Linked DNA regions of Xenopus tropicalis. The protein of the gene in region 3 interacts with the protein of the main gene of each other region in a pairwise test. Links are inferred from orthologs where the notes say so. Each region holds a gene or a part of one and is shown on either strand. Other genes may lie near its edges.

Evidence for each region. The genes of interacting proteins can lie anywhere in the genome.
Region 1: the proteins of enkd1 (region 3) and begain interact in binary tests that used the Homo sapiens proteins (3 or more experiments, as listed by UniProt). The two-hybrid records come from large-scale screens. The link is inferred for Xenopus tropicalis from reciprocal best matches to the Homo sapiens genes ENKD1 and BEGAIN.
Region 2: the proteins of enkd1 (region 3) and ubxn11 interact in binary tests that used the Homo sapiens proteins (3 or more experiments, as listed by UniProt). The two-hybrid records come from large-scale screens. The link is inferred for Xenopus tropicalis from reciprocal best matches to the Homo sapiens genes ENKD1 and UBXN11.

What each region holds. Positions count from the first base shown.
Region 1 is NC_030684.2:96,751,543-96,756,585, reverse strand, and holds part of begain (brain-enriched guanylate kinase-associated protein), read left to right. Parts: intron 1-1,304; coding exon 1,305-1,466; intron 1,467-5,043. UniProt on the Homo sapiens protein: May sustain the structure of the postsynaptic density (PSD).
Region 2 is NC_030678.2:77,352,456-77,357,934, forward strand, and holds the end of ubxn11 (UBX domain-containing protein 11), read right to left. Parts: intron 5,071-5,479; coding exon 5,013-5,070; intron 4,930-5,012; coding exon 4,850-4,929; intron 4,771-4,849; coding exon 4,683-4,770; intron 3,815-4,682; coding exon 3,597-3,814; intron 3,515-3,596; coding exon 3,437-3,514; intron 3,362-3,436; coding exon 3,247-3,361; intron 3,168-3,246; coding exon 3,064-3,167; intron 2,990-3,063; coding exon 2,922-2,989; intron 1,945-2,921; coding exon 1,819-1,944; intron 1,736-1,818; coding exon 1,579-1,735; 3' UTR 1,398-1,578; downstream 1-1,397. Other genes in the region: sh3bgrl3 (SH3 domain-binding glutamic acid-rich-like protein 3), read left to right, coding at 7-75. UniProt on the Homo sapiens protein: May be involved in the reorganization of actin cytoskeleton mediated by RND1, RND2 and RND3. Promotes RHOA activation mediated by GNA12 and GNA13.
Region 3 is NC_030680.2:41,248,037-41,253,079, reverse strand, and holds part of enkd1 (enkurin domain-containing protein 1), read right to left. Parts: intron 4,308-5,043; coding exon 4,083-4,307; intron 1-4,082. UniProt on the Homo sapiens protein: Microtubule-binding protein which regulates microtubule organization and stability. Promotes the stability of astral microtubules and facilitates the proper orientation of the mitotic spindle.

The DNA of each region.
Region 1 (5,043 bases), on a different chromosome or scaffold from region 3:
TTATGTAAGGAAATGCAATCAAAGAAGCTAAAGCATTTTCAGGTGTCTTTTTATCAAACATACTTGTATCCTCTCATTCTGAGAAATATAGGAAAATAATATGGCAATAAGAGTGTTTTTCAGACATCATTGTCAAAGCCATAAATCTCAACCTAAGTGGCCCTCAGAACCCACCCACTTCTGTGCCTCCAAATAGTGCAAGGCTCATTTTGCCAACCTATGTCACTGCACATTATATGCAACCATGTCTTATAGATCATGTGCAAATGATGAGTTGCAGCAAGTACAAGGTAGATACTACTGGATGCAGTACTAGGTATTTCGACATAACTGTATTGCTCCATCCTGAGTTTAGTTGTGCATAACCGTACTTTATAAGTTTTCTGGCAATTAACTTAATAGTGTAAGCCATTCACTAAATGAGCTGTCAAATGAGTTGGGCTGTTGTTGGAGAGGGTTTCTACAGACCATACTATTCCCACTAGTGACCTGTTCAGATTCTTCATTAATAGCTGCTGTCCTAACATACATGGCAATAGCCTATTTGTGAAGAAATTGCAATGTGCAAAGTGCAAGTTTCTGATAAAAGCTGCCATGTTTTTGAATCAGAATGTAGCATTGTTCCAAGAATTTCAGCATAATTTTGGGTGCCAGCTAAGCACCCAAACAACTTGCACACAATGCACAAATGTGAATATTCATTGCTTTTGGTGAAATGTGTGCAATTTGTCACTTCTAGTGGCATCAGTATCACCACTAGCATCCAATTTGCTTTTATGGACACACCCTGCTAGACTAATATTAGTACCAGGGTTCCCTAGTGTCCCTATGCAAAATTCAGGCACATTGGTGATGTTAGTAATATGTATGGGCACAAGTACCTTTGTTAATATCATTAATGCATGCTCAATGTTTGCCTCTATTCTAGCACTTCATATATTGCACTTGCTTTCAAAATGATTCTGTAGACATGCATTCTAGAACAGAATAATAATAAAAAATAACTGAGGACCAGATTGAACATTTCTCTTATTTCTGTCATTATGTAACAAATTCCGGGGAGGAAGGAATGGCACTCTCGGGCATATCCCACATTCTGCCAAGTCCTGCTAAAGAATACATAAATACTTAATGATCATTTGCATCTAGGAGACTTTGTTGTGTGCCTCAGATTAGATCTTAAAATACCCAGAACTGTGAGATCACGGAGAGAGAAACAGCAGTCAGTCTTTTTTATTGGCAGTGGAAAAACAACACTTTGCATCTTGGATAATCACAGTTGGTGGAATATTTGTTTCTTTTAGCAGCTTGCAGGACCAGAAGGAAGAACTGCAGAAGAGACTGTCTTACACTACTCACAAACTGGAAATGCTTGAATCGGAATTTGATTCCACCCGGCAGTTCCTTGAAACTGAGCTGAGGAGGGCACAGGAGGAACTGGAGAAAGTGACAGAAAAGCTGAGAAGGTCAGGCTCTGCTTTATTCTTGTTCTCTAGGATTGTGCCCCTTTTGACTCTAATGCATTAAGTGACAATATTTTGAGAATGTTTTCCTTTTAGAAAATATGTTGCAGGTTGTAGGGCATTTAAATAACAAAAGAGTTTTTTAGTGCAATATGGTTGTATGATAAAATCTCCCAGAGAGTGTGCTAAAGATGTCTGCACGAGGAAGATAGCTAAAGCTAGTTACAGGCCTCAGCAAATTCCTCTTGGCCAGAAAATGTCTATGTAAATGAAATTACATAATTATTTGTGCAATTGTTGCTTGATGTCTTCCTATATAATTTGCCTCAAGGTTGACCTACTTGCAGCCATTGAGCAGTTCATGGACTGCAGCTCACAACACGACACCCTGATGAAGGGGATGCTTTGAGTTGTAATTCCTCCATGATTGATAATTCACAGGATAGAAATCTCTGGTTTTCAGATTTGTATTAAAATTGGGGTGCCTCCCACCTTGTTCTGGATCTTATTTTCATTTGTATGGTCCCAAATAACCACACAAATGAATGGCTTCTCATAACTGTCAGATTGTAAAGTGAAGAAAAGATGTAATGAGTTATATGGCCATCAAACCATGTACATGTTTTAATTAATGACCCATAAAGCCATTAGGTAACCCCTCACTGTCAGTCTGGTTGGTCACACCATGCTAGTTCATAATGAGATTTGTGAAATCTGTTTCTTCCATTGAATCAATGGTGTACTCCTAGTCACCATTTACAGCTGGTAAAGGTCTTATACATACAGGCTACATTCTATTCTACACTAAATAGCTCACTCTTTGCTTAGGGTGGTTGATGAACACCTCTGGGAGCAACATATGCACTGTATCTTATAGGGAACTTGACCAATTGTAGATCCTGAAAATAGTGTCAATGACTCTTGCAGGGTAAAACACTGGTAGCCCCATGTCAGCATGTTTTGATCAAGAGGTGCTGCTTGGTAAATACAGGTGCTTATAGTGCTCTATGGCTTTTCATTCTCCTTCAGCAGTGACTTATTAGATAAACAGAAATGTGCAGACACAATAGACTCAATCTTTAGAATAACAGATGCAAAGCTTTTACTGAATATTTATAAAAAAAAATAATATATACACTTTCTTGTAAAAAGGTGCTTTTCCTATTCAGAGACATTGTAATACAATATATGCCCTCTAAATGGATATTGACTGCTCAGCCTGTTTAACAGCCTCCATCGTCAGCTGATTTCAATACAATGTAGAAATTTGTTTTGCAAGAGGCAATAATATTGTGATATATAATAATAATATTTATTATTATTATTATTATTATTATTATTATTATTATTATTATTATTATTATTATTATTATTATTATTATTATTATTATTATTATTATTATTATTATTATTATTATTATTTAATAATAATAATAATAATAATAATAATAATAATAAAAAGAGGAACACCTTAATGCCAAACATTTTGCTCTAGGCTGCACAGTGGTACAGCAGGAGCATGTGGTGCAGAACCTTAAATAAAAGTGCAATAGGGGATCTCCTTTGCACAGACCCAGTAAAGTGCAGTTTATATGCATGGAAATAGATATCTTGTAAACAGTGTCAGTCACAGCTAGGATGCTTGTATGTAGTACAGTTGATTTAAGCATTACTTTGTGTGATTATTTCTGCAACTGTAGGCACCAGAGGTAACATTTTACAAAACAAGTAAAAATAAGTCTGTATAACTGGTAGATTGAATAATAGAATATTTGCAGAAATTATTTTAATTATTATTTTATAACTGCCTGTTTTTTCATTAGTATAGTTTAATGTTTGGCCGACTAAAGAGAATGTACCCTGGGAGTTGAGAGCACAAGTTAACCCTAGCACCGCTGAGTGCGCTTTTCTAATGCACTTATATCTCTCCTGTCAGCTCACTTATACTTACAGTATAGGCTCATAGGATAGCTGTTATTAGTGGATTCCAACCCTTGCCATCTCTCTATATGAAACAGTTCAGATGCTTTCAGGCACTTATGTAATCATGTGCACCCATACGGCATTTTTATTAAAGCAAATGTAAATGGATAAAACATTAAAGAACTCAATTTACAAACAATAAACAATCAGCATTACATGGAACCTGTTCAAATGGCACTACAAAGTGCTTGAAATATCCCTTTTCTGCCTCACATTTATTTGAATAGCAAATGCCCAATATCACCACTGAAATGTCAGTCAAGCATTTTCCATTCTAATTTGGGGATGGCTGGAGATGATTTGCTGAAAGTGTTTCATGTGTTATACACATATCATGAATGACTACAGAGAGCAGACTGTCTGTTATTCAGTTACAGAAGTGTTCATGTATAAAACAGTGGCAAGGTGCAATCTATGCTCTCTTCATCATACATATTTTCATTACAAAAAATGTCCCTTTCTCTTTAATAGCCGTGGACAGCAAAAACTTCAGTGTCAGTCAGTACAGAATTCCCATTGGCATGTGTTTATCAGGTACACATTAGTAGTAGCTACCAAGTGATTTTTACTAAATCCTGTTCCTATTGATTATTAGGCATTAATCCCTAGCTTTGCCAGCTCATAATGAACAAACAAGGAATGAATGATTGTTAGAATGAGAGCTGAGCTCAAACACTAAAGGATACATGTGTTGGGTGGAGGCCATTACTTGGTTTTAGCTAATCTTATAAGCCTATAGGTTAAGCTTCACTAACTATCTATATCAGTAATTATTGCCCTTTTATAGCCTTTCCCTTGATCCACCATTTAGTGGTGGGCTGTGTGTTCCCTCATTATTCATTTACAGTTTTATAAGTTTTATAAGGGGGAGATTTTTCAATATTTGAGTTTGATTTTTTTCACGATTCAAGTTTTTTCCAATTATGGTTCAAAAATTCGAATGTCTGATATTTATTAAGGGGGAGATTTATTAAAAACATGAACGCTCCGAATTTATTTTCGCTGATTTGTTCGCTCTTGCGTGACTTTTTAGTACACCCGCGCAACTTTTTTGTGCGCTTGCGCAAAAATTCAGAAAGGTTCTGCCGCTGTTTACAATTGTTCGGTACGAAAATTTTGTGACTTTCGGATCACCAATACGATATTATTGTGACTAATACAATTTTTTCGTAAGCATTTTCGTGATATTTGCGATCTTCAGAAATTATCGTATCCAATCCGAATTTTTCCCATTCGGGATTGGCATCTAAAAGATGCGAGTAGAAAGGTACATACAGTTGAAAAGTTTTGAATGTAAAGCACAATGTATGGATTATGTACTCAGATGTACTTCAAACTTGATTTATGTTGGAAATACCGCCAGACATTTGGCACTAAGTATTTAGGAAAATTAAAGGGCTCTGGATGAAAAATGTGGTTAGTTCAGGGGCAAGGCACTTTACACAGACAGGGATCTACATGCGGGGGTTCTGGGGACATGGACATTACCCAGACCTAGGGGAAGTAGTGATTGGAAAAATATACTATAATACTACAAAGTTTATATGGATTTTTAATGTGACGACATATAAAACCCCTTATACTTCAAGTATATCGT
Region 2 (5,479 bases), on a different chromosome or scaffold from region 3:
TTTTAGGACTATGAGCAGTTTGCAGCTGCTGTTGAAGATGAGATATTGAGCCAGTTTCTTAAGCTTAAAGCTTAGATTCTGTGATGCTGAACCTTTTTTGTTACATCAATGCATTTGAGCCCACACCCTGCTTATTTTCACCCACAAAGGAGTAAACTAGAAACAGGGATTATTCATTCCATCTTTTCCTATACATTCCAAAATTTCACTTTCTTGCACCTCATTCATTCCTGGGATACTGGAAGAGGCCCTGAACTCTTTTTCTGTGTTTTTTTCAGAACCACCCCCCCCCCTGCTGGCAGATAAGGGATCTAAAAAAAAAAAACTTTCCTTTTTATGACTTCTAAACTCATTCCATGCTTTTCCTGCCAAAGAGGAAGTGAGAATGTCTTCCAGTAGATCAGTAAACCTGTTGTTCACATTGTTTTCATTTAAAAATAAAACACTTATCTGTTCCTAACTAAATGACTGAAATTGCTATGAGTTTTGCTCAAGTATTCCACGAATAATAAACAGATGTTTGTAGGTGGTTGTATATAGAGGCTGGGAATATGAAAAATAGCATTTTTCAGCTGGAAGGGAAGTGCCCAAATCTTGAAGAGGAGTCCGTCATGTCATTTGTTTTATAGAAGCAGACAAGCAGTTTCCATTTAAACTAATTAAAGGTTTGTTAGCCCGATTGGGCAGAATAAAAGAATATCACACGAGTGGCCATACAATTCTACAGGCATCTTTATTTTGCTCCAGAAAAGCAGGAAGTGAAGGAGTCACTTACTTTAGGGCGAAGACAGAGGGGACAATTAGTTGCCGTGATTTTTAAAAATCTGATTGCCGACTAATCGCAGCGGCACCAAGTTCCATATGGAAAGGTACTGCAACATAAAGTTGCTGCAACATAAATATGTAGTGTGGGACAAACTGCTATTGTACTTGTGTGTGGTGATAAATCGCCACAATCAGATTTTTAAAAACGCCGCAATAATCACCCTGGTATAGTTTTAGATCCCCCAGGATTGCAAGATTATTGGTCTATATGACCCCCCCCAGGCACCGTCACTTTCTGTTTAAAAGCCAGGAAGAAGGTAATGGATGCTACAATGATTTGCTTTTATCTCCTGCACGTTTCTTGCATAAACAAATGACTAGATTCATCGTTACTGCAATTAGTGGGAATTATAAGATGTTATGGCAAATTTGTATGGAGTACAACACTTAGGGGAATGTTTCTTGTTGTGTTAAGAATGTTTCTTGTGTTAATAGTGTTAAAAATGACCTCCCAACTATATGGGATAGCTTTAGCAGATGTATTTTCTAACAGGTGACTTTTCAGTGGCAAAATCTGCCTCCCAGCTATCAAGTTTTACTCACAGTAGAACATAATTTAATCTGCATACTGATAAAGAACTGTTAGTATTAGTTTATTGTTCCTTTATGGTCATGTATAGTTGTAGAATTATACCATATAAAAGTGCATGTTGTAAAGTTCAAGTTGAACAGTCATCAGGAAGAGATAAAAGATCACCGCCCCTTTGTTTCTTCTGTTCTTTAGATTCATAAATGAAATTCTTTCTTTTTTCCTCAGACTGATTGCTTTTTTTGTTCCTCCTCACTTCTTGCTCTGAGAACTAGAAAAGCATTGGGGACGAGGCCAACCTCTTCCAAGGTACATGTATCATCTTCATACACACAGTAAGGGAAAGGGGTGATAATGTTGTAGGAGGAGAGATCAGGTGCCCTGCTTACAAAATATATAATAAGGAATGAGAAATAAACAGACTAAATATGTTATAGGATTTTAAAAAAACAAAAAACACATACCGGCACGAGGACAAGTAATTTCGCAAGTCGGCAAGGGTTTCTGAAGACAACATTCGCACTTTATATGTTTTATCACCAGACTCAGACCTGATCCTTAAAGTTGACACTACCATGTTGTCTTGTGTGCTAAAACAAATACAAATATTTATATTCTTTAAATCTTGTTGTATAGTTGTGATCCTACATCAGGAGAGAGAGAGAGATGGCAACACTGTCTTAAAGGAACAGTTCAGTGTAAAAATTAAACTGGGTAAAATAGACTGCGCAAAATAAAAAATAATATTAACATAGTTATGGAAAAATATAATCTATAATGGCAGGATTGAGCAGATGTCTAACATAATAGCCAGAACACTATTTCCTGCTTTCAGCTCTTAGTTAGTCAGTGACTTTAGGGAGGCCACATGGGACATAACTGTTCAGTTAGTTTGCTTTTGAATCTGACCTGTGCACTCACAAACTAACTGAATAGTTGTGTCCCATGTGCCCCCCCCCCCCCCCCCCAAAATCACTGATTGGCTACTGACTGATAATAGCTTAGAGAGCTGTAAAGGAGGAAGTAGAGTTCTGGCTGTTATGTTAGACATCTGCCCACTCCAGCCTTTATAGATTTCACCTTTGGCTAACTAACTATATTGAAACTATTATTTTATTTTGCACAGTTTATCTATTTTACCCAGTTTCATTTTTACACTAAACTATTCCTTTAAAACTCGCCAAAAGCAACATTCCAACAGTGTTCTTTACATTGTTTACAATTGTGCCATTATAGAAAGGATGGAGCCCCATGTGGCTACCCAAAGTCTTAGGGCTGATGGGGATAACTTTTATGGGCCCATGTACAGCAACACACCTTTTTGTGAAAATACATTAATAATAATAATAATAAAGCTGTTTTATTCTTGGCTTGAGAAAGAAAGCTTAACTGAAGGACATCAATAAAAAACGCTGGACTTTGAATAAATATAACTGTGACAACTGGATTTATGAGACAAAGGAAAACACTATATTTAATAAAAAAAATATTAAAAACAAAAACAGCAAAGATATTATGTAATGACTACCCCCCTTTAACCCTATGGAATACATTTTACTATCCGTACCTCTGCTCTTTTGATAGCTGTGGAGATTCCACTAAGATTTCTTTTGGCATCTCATTTTCTTCTGACCCCTTAGAAAAACAACAAGAGCTAACTGTCTGAAGATGCTCCACCAAACCCTCCGTTCCCATGGTCATGTACAAACCTGCAGAGCTTCTCTTACAGCACTTCGTACATGCACAATTCTACCCCCACGAATTACAGATTTAGGCAGTCTATTCAAGAACTGGTCAGTGGAAAGCTGTGGTCCTGTTGGTGGGCAGAATTTACAATGAAAATGTTCTATAAACCCTTAAGGGCTTGCCTTATTTTTAAAGAGAGCCCTTACCTGGTTTTTTGTTAGTTTGTAAATTACTTCCTGAGCTCCCAATAGTCTGACCAGAACCAGGAAAATCATCCCATCGCCGCTGCTCTTGGAAAATTACATTGCGGTTGTCTGTAACCTGCAAGGCAAAGATACTTTTCAAGAGTCCTTTTCACCTACATGCGTAGACTGTATTCTTCAGCAATTCTCTTACCTGAAATGTGACTCCATTAGGAAACCGGGCCTGCAGTTCAGAGGGAAAATAGCCATCCATGATATCTCTTATACATAGCTGTAACACAATGAAGGACAAATTATTTCAGGGAAAATAACTTCTTTCCCATCTGACATACCACTGTTTCTGTTTTCCTCACCTGTGTGGATTTTTCCTTGTAGGATCGAAAGGGCCCTTGGAACATAATAATCCCGTTTTTATACAAAGTCAATGGGACAGACTCGGGTGCTCTCAAACGGGCCCCTCCCTTTTGATACTCAATATGCGATTCTCCCTCACCTCCAAGTACATTCAAATCTCTTAAATTTTCCAGGACTAGATCAAAGTCTGGTAGGAAAGAAGTAGGTGAAGAAGGTCCTATGGAGATTAAAAAAATATTACTATAAATACAACTATTTTTAAAAGTCTCATATTACCCATTTATTTAATAAAAGTGTAAAGTGAAAACACCACTAGTGCTAAAGCTATAGGGACTGATTCCTGACAATAGGTGGAACTCCTACTTAAAGCATGTAAAAAATATTAGAGATGGGCCGAATCCCAGATTTAGTTTGGGATTCAGCTAAATCGGAGCCATTTTTAGCATGACATGGCCGAATCCAACCGCCTAGCTGAATCTGAGCCCTAAGTATTGAAAAATATTTGCAGCATGCCTTCCCCTGCATTTTCTGCTTCTGCTCTGGGCTTGGTTCGGTATTTAGCCAAATTCGTACCCAAGGAACTGAAATATAGGTTTGGTGCATCCCTAGTAAATATACAGAGAAGCAATATTTTTAGTTATTGTCAATCGGTGTGTTATAACATGGTTTTTCAATAATATGGAAAAGTTAATGCCTAGTGACATTTATTTCAAATACTAGAACCTAGGATTAAAGAAAATAGTAATTGTGGTGTATGCAAACATTTCACTTCTTCATTATTTAAGGTCCCTGGCTCTAATTACCTTAGCATTAATAACCATTAGGAGTTCTATTTGCCTGGCAACGCTGAGTACAGGCTTGTCTACTTATCTGATCAATGATACTGTAGCATTAGAAAACTACTTCCCATGTAGTTTAGCCCTTAATACACTGAATTTACACTGTTTAAACAGAAGTTTTCAGGGCTGACCCTACTCCATACTCCAGTGATATCCGAATAACAGATAGAAGCTTCTCATAGCCTGCTATGAACCGCTGCTTCCAAGGAGATTGTTTACAGTGGCAATGTTATAATCTACAATTACCTGGGCTCCATGTTCTGGCAGTGGATTCAGGTGAGACATCTGCATTGTTTTCCCCAACCCAGACCAGTCCATAATCACCAAGGAAACGCTAGGGAGGAACAAAACATTTCTGGGTCTCACTTATTACATAGCTATTAGAAAAAATATGGCACACCATACACACTCACCTCCATCTCAGAGATTTTTTTATTTAGTTCCTTACACTGGTGTTCCAGTTCCTGTTCTCTCCTTCCACTTGTGGCATTCCCTGTATGTAAAAATTGAGTTAAAGGACATATAAACCCTACATTTTCCTACCCACCATTGGGCACATCCCCAACCCAAACAAACCTGAATGTAGCTGTTGAAGTCTTTTGATTTTCTTTTCTAGGTCTCTGATTTCCTGATCCTGTGGTATAGATATGGATAGAGAGACAGACACACAGATATATTTTCTCAGTATTCCTAAGCACTAAGCACATCTATGAACAACTGTTCATTCTTGCCTCATGTATTCGGTGTGATAACAAGAAAATGCCAAGTTACTAATATTCATCAATCCAGCATAATGCGTTTTTTAGTATTAGATTTAAACTTAGAATTTTTTTTACAAAGATAATTGCCCAAAAGCATGGAAAACCTTTGAGACAATCACATCTATGGGGGGGGGGGGGTTGTGTTCTCTCTCCAACCTACTTAAGTAATCCACAGCCTTTTTACTATAAAAAAATTGGTGTCTATTAGTGTAAACATTATCACTATTACTGGACATAAAATGTGCATATATTAAAGAATGATATGATGCAGCAGTAAATGTG
Region 3 (5,043 bases):
GTTATTGTGTTTGTCTTACACTGACATATATATATATATAATATATACATAAAGAAAAATGTCGGCACTCACAGGGTTTCCATATAAAGGCAAAAAATAAACAGCTTTTAAATACAAACGGTGATGTTTATTCTTTCCAACGTTTCAGTCCTATACACGGACTTTCGTCAGGGAGTATATATATAATATATATATATATATAATCATGAGTAGAATAGATTTCTTATTTTTAATCATTCAGGTTTTAGAGATTTTAGCTTTTTTAATAAGCACACATTTGAGTTTGGTGAGCAAAGGAGAAAAGGCACATGTTACATAGCAGATAACAGACAAGCACTGTAATAGAATACAGTGGAATTCATTTTTTGTACTTCTTTAATATTCATGGGTCCTCACTCACAAAGTGCGGGGCACCTTGGGCACTGGTCAAACAGACCAACACTCCCCCAGTCAATACAGCGCTGCCTTACTGCTGCATATATGATAAGGATGTAGCCTATATTTTGTGCCTGGCATTCTCCCTTGCCACATTAGAGCATATTGCCCCAGTGATACAAGGAAGTAGTAGCTAACTACATTTCATTTAACACTGGTAATAATATTTAGTAATAAAACAACATTAAATGCTACACCCTAGAGTATACCCTTAGCAAAGGACTCTTCTCTATTCCATGGCCATATGACTCCTTGTTTTCCAATGCATCCTTTAGACCCTTACTTTATATGTCAGTTTTGGATGCTCTATCGCCTCTGTTAAAGCTCAAAGTACCTGTGTATTAATATATTTCTACACGTCGATACTTTTGCAATAGAAAATGTAACTTTGTTGGGTACTTTCTTTAGGATGCAGATTAGACTTCTGTAGCTAGAGCAAATGTCATGTGAGCTCTGACCAAATCCCTTTACATGATCAAGGTTCTAGCTTTTCTTATGTGGTTACAGTCCAAATATATAACCCACGAACAATGCTTGAGATGCAGCTCCTATGTGAATGAATGCATTTTGTGAAGACCCAAGTAAGCTATCCTTTAAAAATTGTGAAAATCTCTGTAAATAAATAAAGGGCTGCCCAACTTGGGTAAATTTTGACAAACTTGCAAAAGGCCCTTATTGGACAGAAGCCAGCATTACTCAAGGTTCCTTACTGAGCTGGTTGAATTTGGTTTACCTCAACACCAACCAGTGTTCAATCTGACCTATACTTACAAAACTAATTCATTTGCCTAACAGGAACAAAGGTATAGGTTTGCTGGTATCATGAACCATAGAAATTACTTCCCTCTATTAAGGCTCTTACAGATGAGTGTTTTTTCATGCGATGCAGTTCCTTGTTTGTATTCACTCTTCCGCAGGGAAGTGCCAAATACAGGTGAAATGCAACCCGATCTATTCCACCTGCATTTGGCACTTCCCTGCAGCAGAGTAAGAACAAACCCATTGAAAAAAATCTAAGCTTAGCAGATATTTATTATTATTATTTTCTGCTTGTTTGGTTTCTATTAGCTTCCAATTCTGCTTCTTTCCAGCCTTGAACTGGAAACATATTTATATGTTGGTTGTCAGGGTTACTAAGCCCAGCAAAGAAAACTCCAAAAACTGACTGCAAGGTATACATTTTATGTAGTTATTAATTAAAACTAAAACTTTTCAGGCCTTCTCCTGTACATCCTCTGATGAAATACAGGATTAGCAAAAGCAAAGCAAAAAGTGATTTCCAGCTACGATACCCATAGTGTTTAGAGTTGGAGCTGGTCTGGCCAGGGTCTGACCTCCCTTTCATCTTACCCCCACAGTAGTACTAAGGCATAGAGGCAGGGCAGGCTGACCTTCCTTGATGTCACTGCACTCCTCACAATCCCCCCTCCCTCCTCCCTTATCTATAATTGTGTATTGCATGGGCAACAGGTGTAAGATTCTGGAGAATAAACAAAATTTTGGGATGATACAAATTTTTCCTTATAAGAGCGTCCACAAATTGGCACTTTTTTACTTGCTGAGTTCCAAGACTGAAAGAAACAATATTTAAATACTTTAAATAGTGTAAGTGAAGTTTATTTTGCTTGATAAAAACAATATAAAAGAAATGTAAATGATTTATTAGGGTTAAAGGTCCCATTTAAAATCTCAAGCCTAAGAGATTCAAAACGTTTTATAAACAGCCTTAAACATTACAAATCCCCAAGCAGAATTTACCTTAATAACAAGCAATTATATCTTCACAGTAGCACACACACACATTACATATTTAGGACTAAAAATGACATCAGATATAACTAATAACGTTTAACTTAACTACTTATTAAAAAACGTATTAAACTTATTAAAAAAGAATATTCTCCCTAGATTCCAATACTTTTTCCAAATACTTGTTCCATTTATCCAGGATTAACACTAGATAATTTCAAAGACCGGAAAATAAAACCCCACCAAGGGGCATATATTTGTATAAAACATTTTATACAAACACAAAAACTAATGGAAATAACAAAACAGCCCTCAACACAAATAGAGATCCTCTGGGAATCTAGCAACCCCCCAACAAAATCAATATTGTATATATACAAATGCTTGAGCAAATTAGCTCCTGACCCAGACACAGTTTTTTAAAAGTAAATGGTAAAGAGAGCTGAGCTGCGTGATACCAGAGGAGACCGGGGAAATAGTGCAAATACTTTCCTACGCCTCCTACAAGAACAAAACTATAAACTTCCTTTACAGTGGTACAGAATTCTTCCCCTCGTTACATGCTGGAGGTGTGGAGGGGACTCTTTCTCACATCTTCTGGGGATGCCTAGCCTTGGCAACTTACTGGTCCTTAATCAGAGACATAAATAAGACAATAACCGATAAAGATATTAATAATGGTCCAGTAGTCCTACAGATGCTACAACATTTTCACCTACAATATATAAAAAGTCACTTGTACTCATATTATTAGATACACCTAAAGCTCTCATCCCACCACTGTGGAGATCCCAAATGGTCCCCCAGAGAAAAGTGGATGCAAAAAAATTGAGAAAATCAGTAAATTTGAAGAACTAAAATCACATGAAACACAACACTATATTCAGAAATTATTTTATTGGACAAGCTCTAAAGAAACAGATTATTATAAGAACTTCATGACCTCCACTTAGTCATTCATAGATGCATCATTATACTTACCTTATGTAATGTAATAGGTAATGTAAAGGAACAACTGATTTGCCATAGCTATATCAAATCAGACATATACTGAATAATAAAAGGTTATACTATATTTACTCAAGTATTAATACCCTGAATCAATCAGAAGGCTCAAAAAATTGTGCAAGACCTCTGGTTCCTAAACCACTGTTCCTATTTACCTCCGTGAATATGATCATCAGCCACAGTCATAAAGTCATAAAATGACTCAATGACTCTGAAGTTGACCAACCTAGGGAATGGCTTTTGATTCTTTGTTGTTTTTTTCTATATTACCTTTTTCTTCTATGTTGGGGATTACTACACAGCCCCTCCCACATGTGTGCTCACTGCACAACATGATCCCCTAAAAATACAAGATGGAAGAAGAGACAGACTCAGCAAACACCAGACACCTAGCAAGGATGTGATATGTGCAGTCTTTCATAATTTTTGAATGAACGTGCACCCTGTGTGTTTTTTCTTGTCAATACAAATTTCAATTATAAAAAAAAAAGCTAAAACTATATGGACATGTTTTTGAACATGTCATTGAGAAACTAAAAGTATAACATGACTTTTGTCCTCTTTTTTGCTGTAACACTTCTGGTGCTCTGTGAGAAGTCAGGTCATGGGCATGACATTTCTGCATAAGTTAGAATTTTCAATGTGGTATGTCATCATTGAGCTCTTTAGTAGAGTCATTATACTGCCAATTGTTGCTAAAGTGTGCATAGCTCTGTGCCAGCAATAAGTATGAGTTCAATAGCTAATTAGAACTCACTAATCACTAATTAGAAGGAATATCCAGATTTTTATATTTTATGGTGTATAAAGTGAACCAGAGATGAAAAGTTTAACAATAAAATTATCAGACAAACAAACAACATGACTGATATGTTAAAAAATGTACTAACTTTTTGTAGGCAGGCTGGGATGAAGAGATATTCCTTCTAACTGCAAGAGATCTCCAACAGTTCCCCTCTGGCCACGCTTTAGGATGTCATGAGCACTAGAGTGGATCCTAGGAGGAGGGTGTGAAAGGCGGGAACTGTAAAAAGATGGACATATTATTGGGTCGGGAGCTATAGGACCCAATAATAATTCCAACTCCAAGCTTCTGCCTTCAAGTCTTCCACGGGCTGCAGAAAAGAAGAAAAGGGAGATAATTTATATTTATGATATTTTAAGTTGTTTTAATTTTGTACATAAAGATATTTTGGAAATATTATGCTGATTGGAGGAGATTTTCAGAACTACATAAATACACTACTTTTAGCAAAACTTTGCAAGTTGGTGTATAAAAATAATTCTACCCATGTTTGGGGTTAGATTACTCTTAGGCAACTCTCTGCAGCAGCCATAGTACAGGTATGGGACCTGTTATGTAGAATGCTTGGGACCTGGGGTTTTCCGGATAAGGGATCTTTCCATAATTTTTGTCCGCTAAAAATTATTTTAATATTGAATAATCCCAATAGGATTGATTTGCCCCCAATAAGGGGTAATTATATCTTAGCTGGGATCAAGTACAAGGTACTGTTTTATTATTACAGAGAAAAAGGAAATCATTTTTGGGAGATGGCCTTTCTGTAATTCGGAGCTCTCTGGATAACGGGTTTCCGGATAAGGAATCCCATACCTGTATCAGCCCCCTATACACTATGCATACTGGGCATTAGACTAATGGCACCACTGGTATTTGTTGCTTTTACGCTTATATAGTTGTCCCTAAAATCTACTCATATGTTCTAACCGTATATTCCTCATGTTTTAACACTCTAGTCCAGGCTGATTCGTTTATTTGCCCATGTATATCATTTTACAAGACTACATCAATGAATATATTACATAAATAGTTTGGCAGATAATATATCT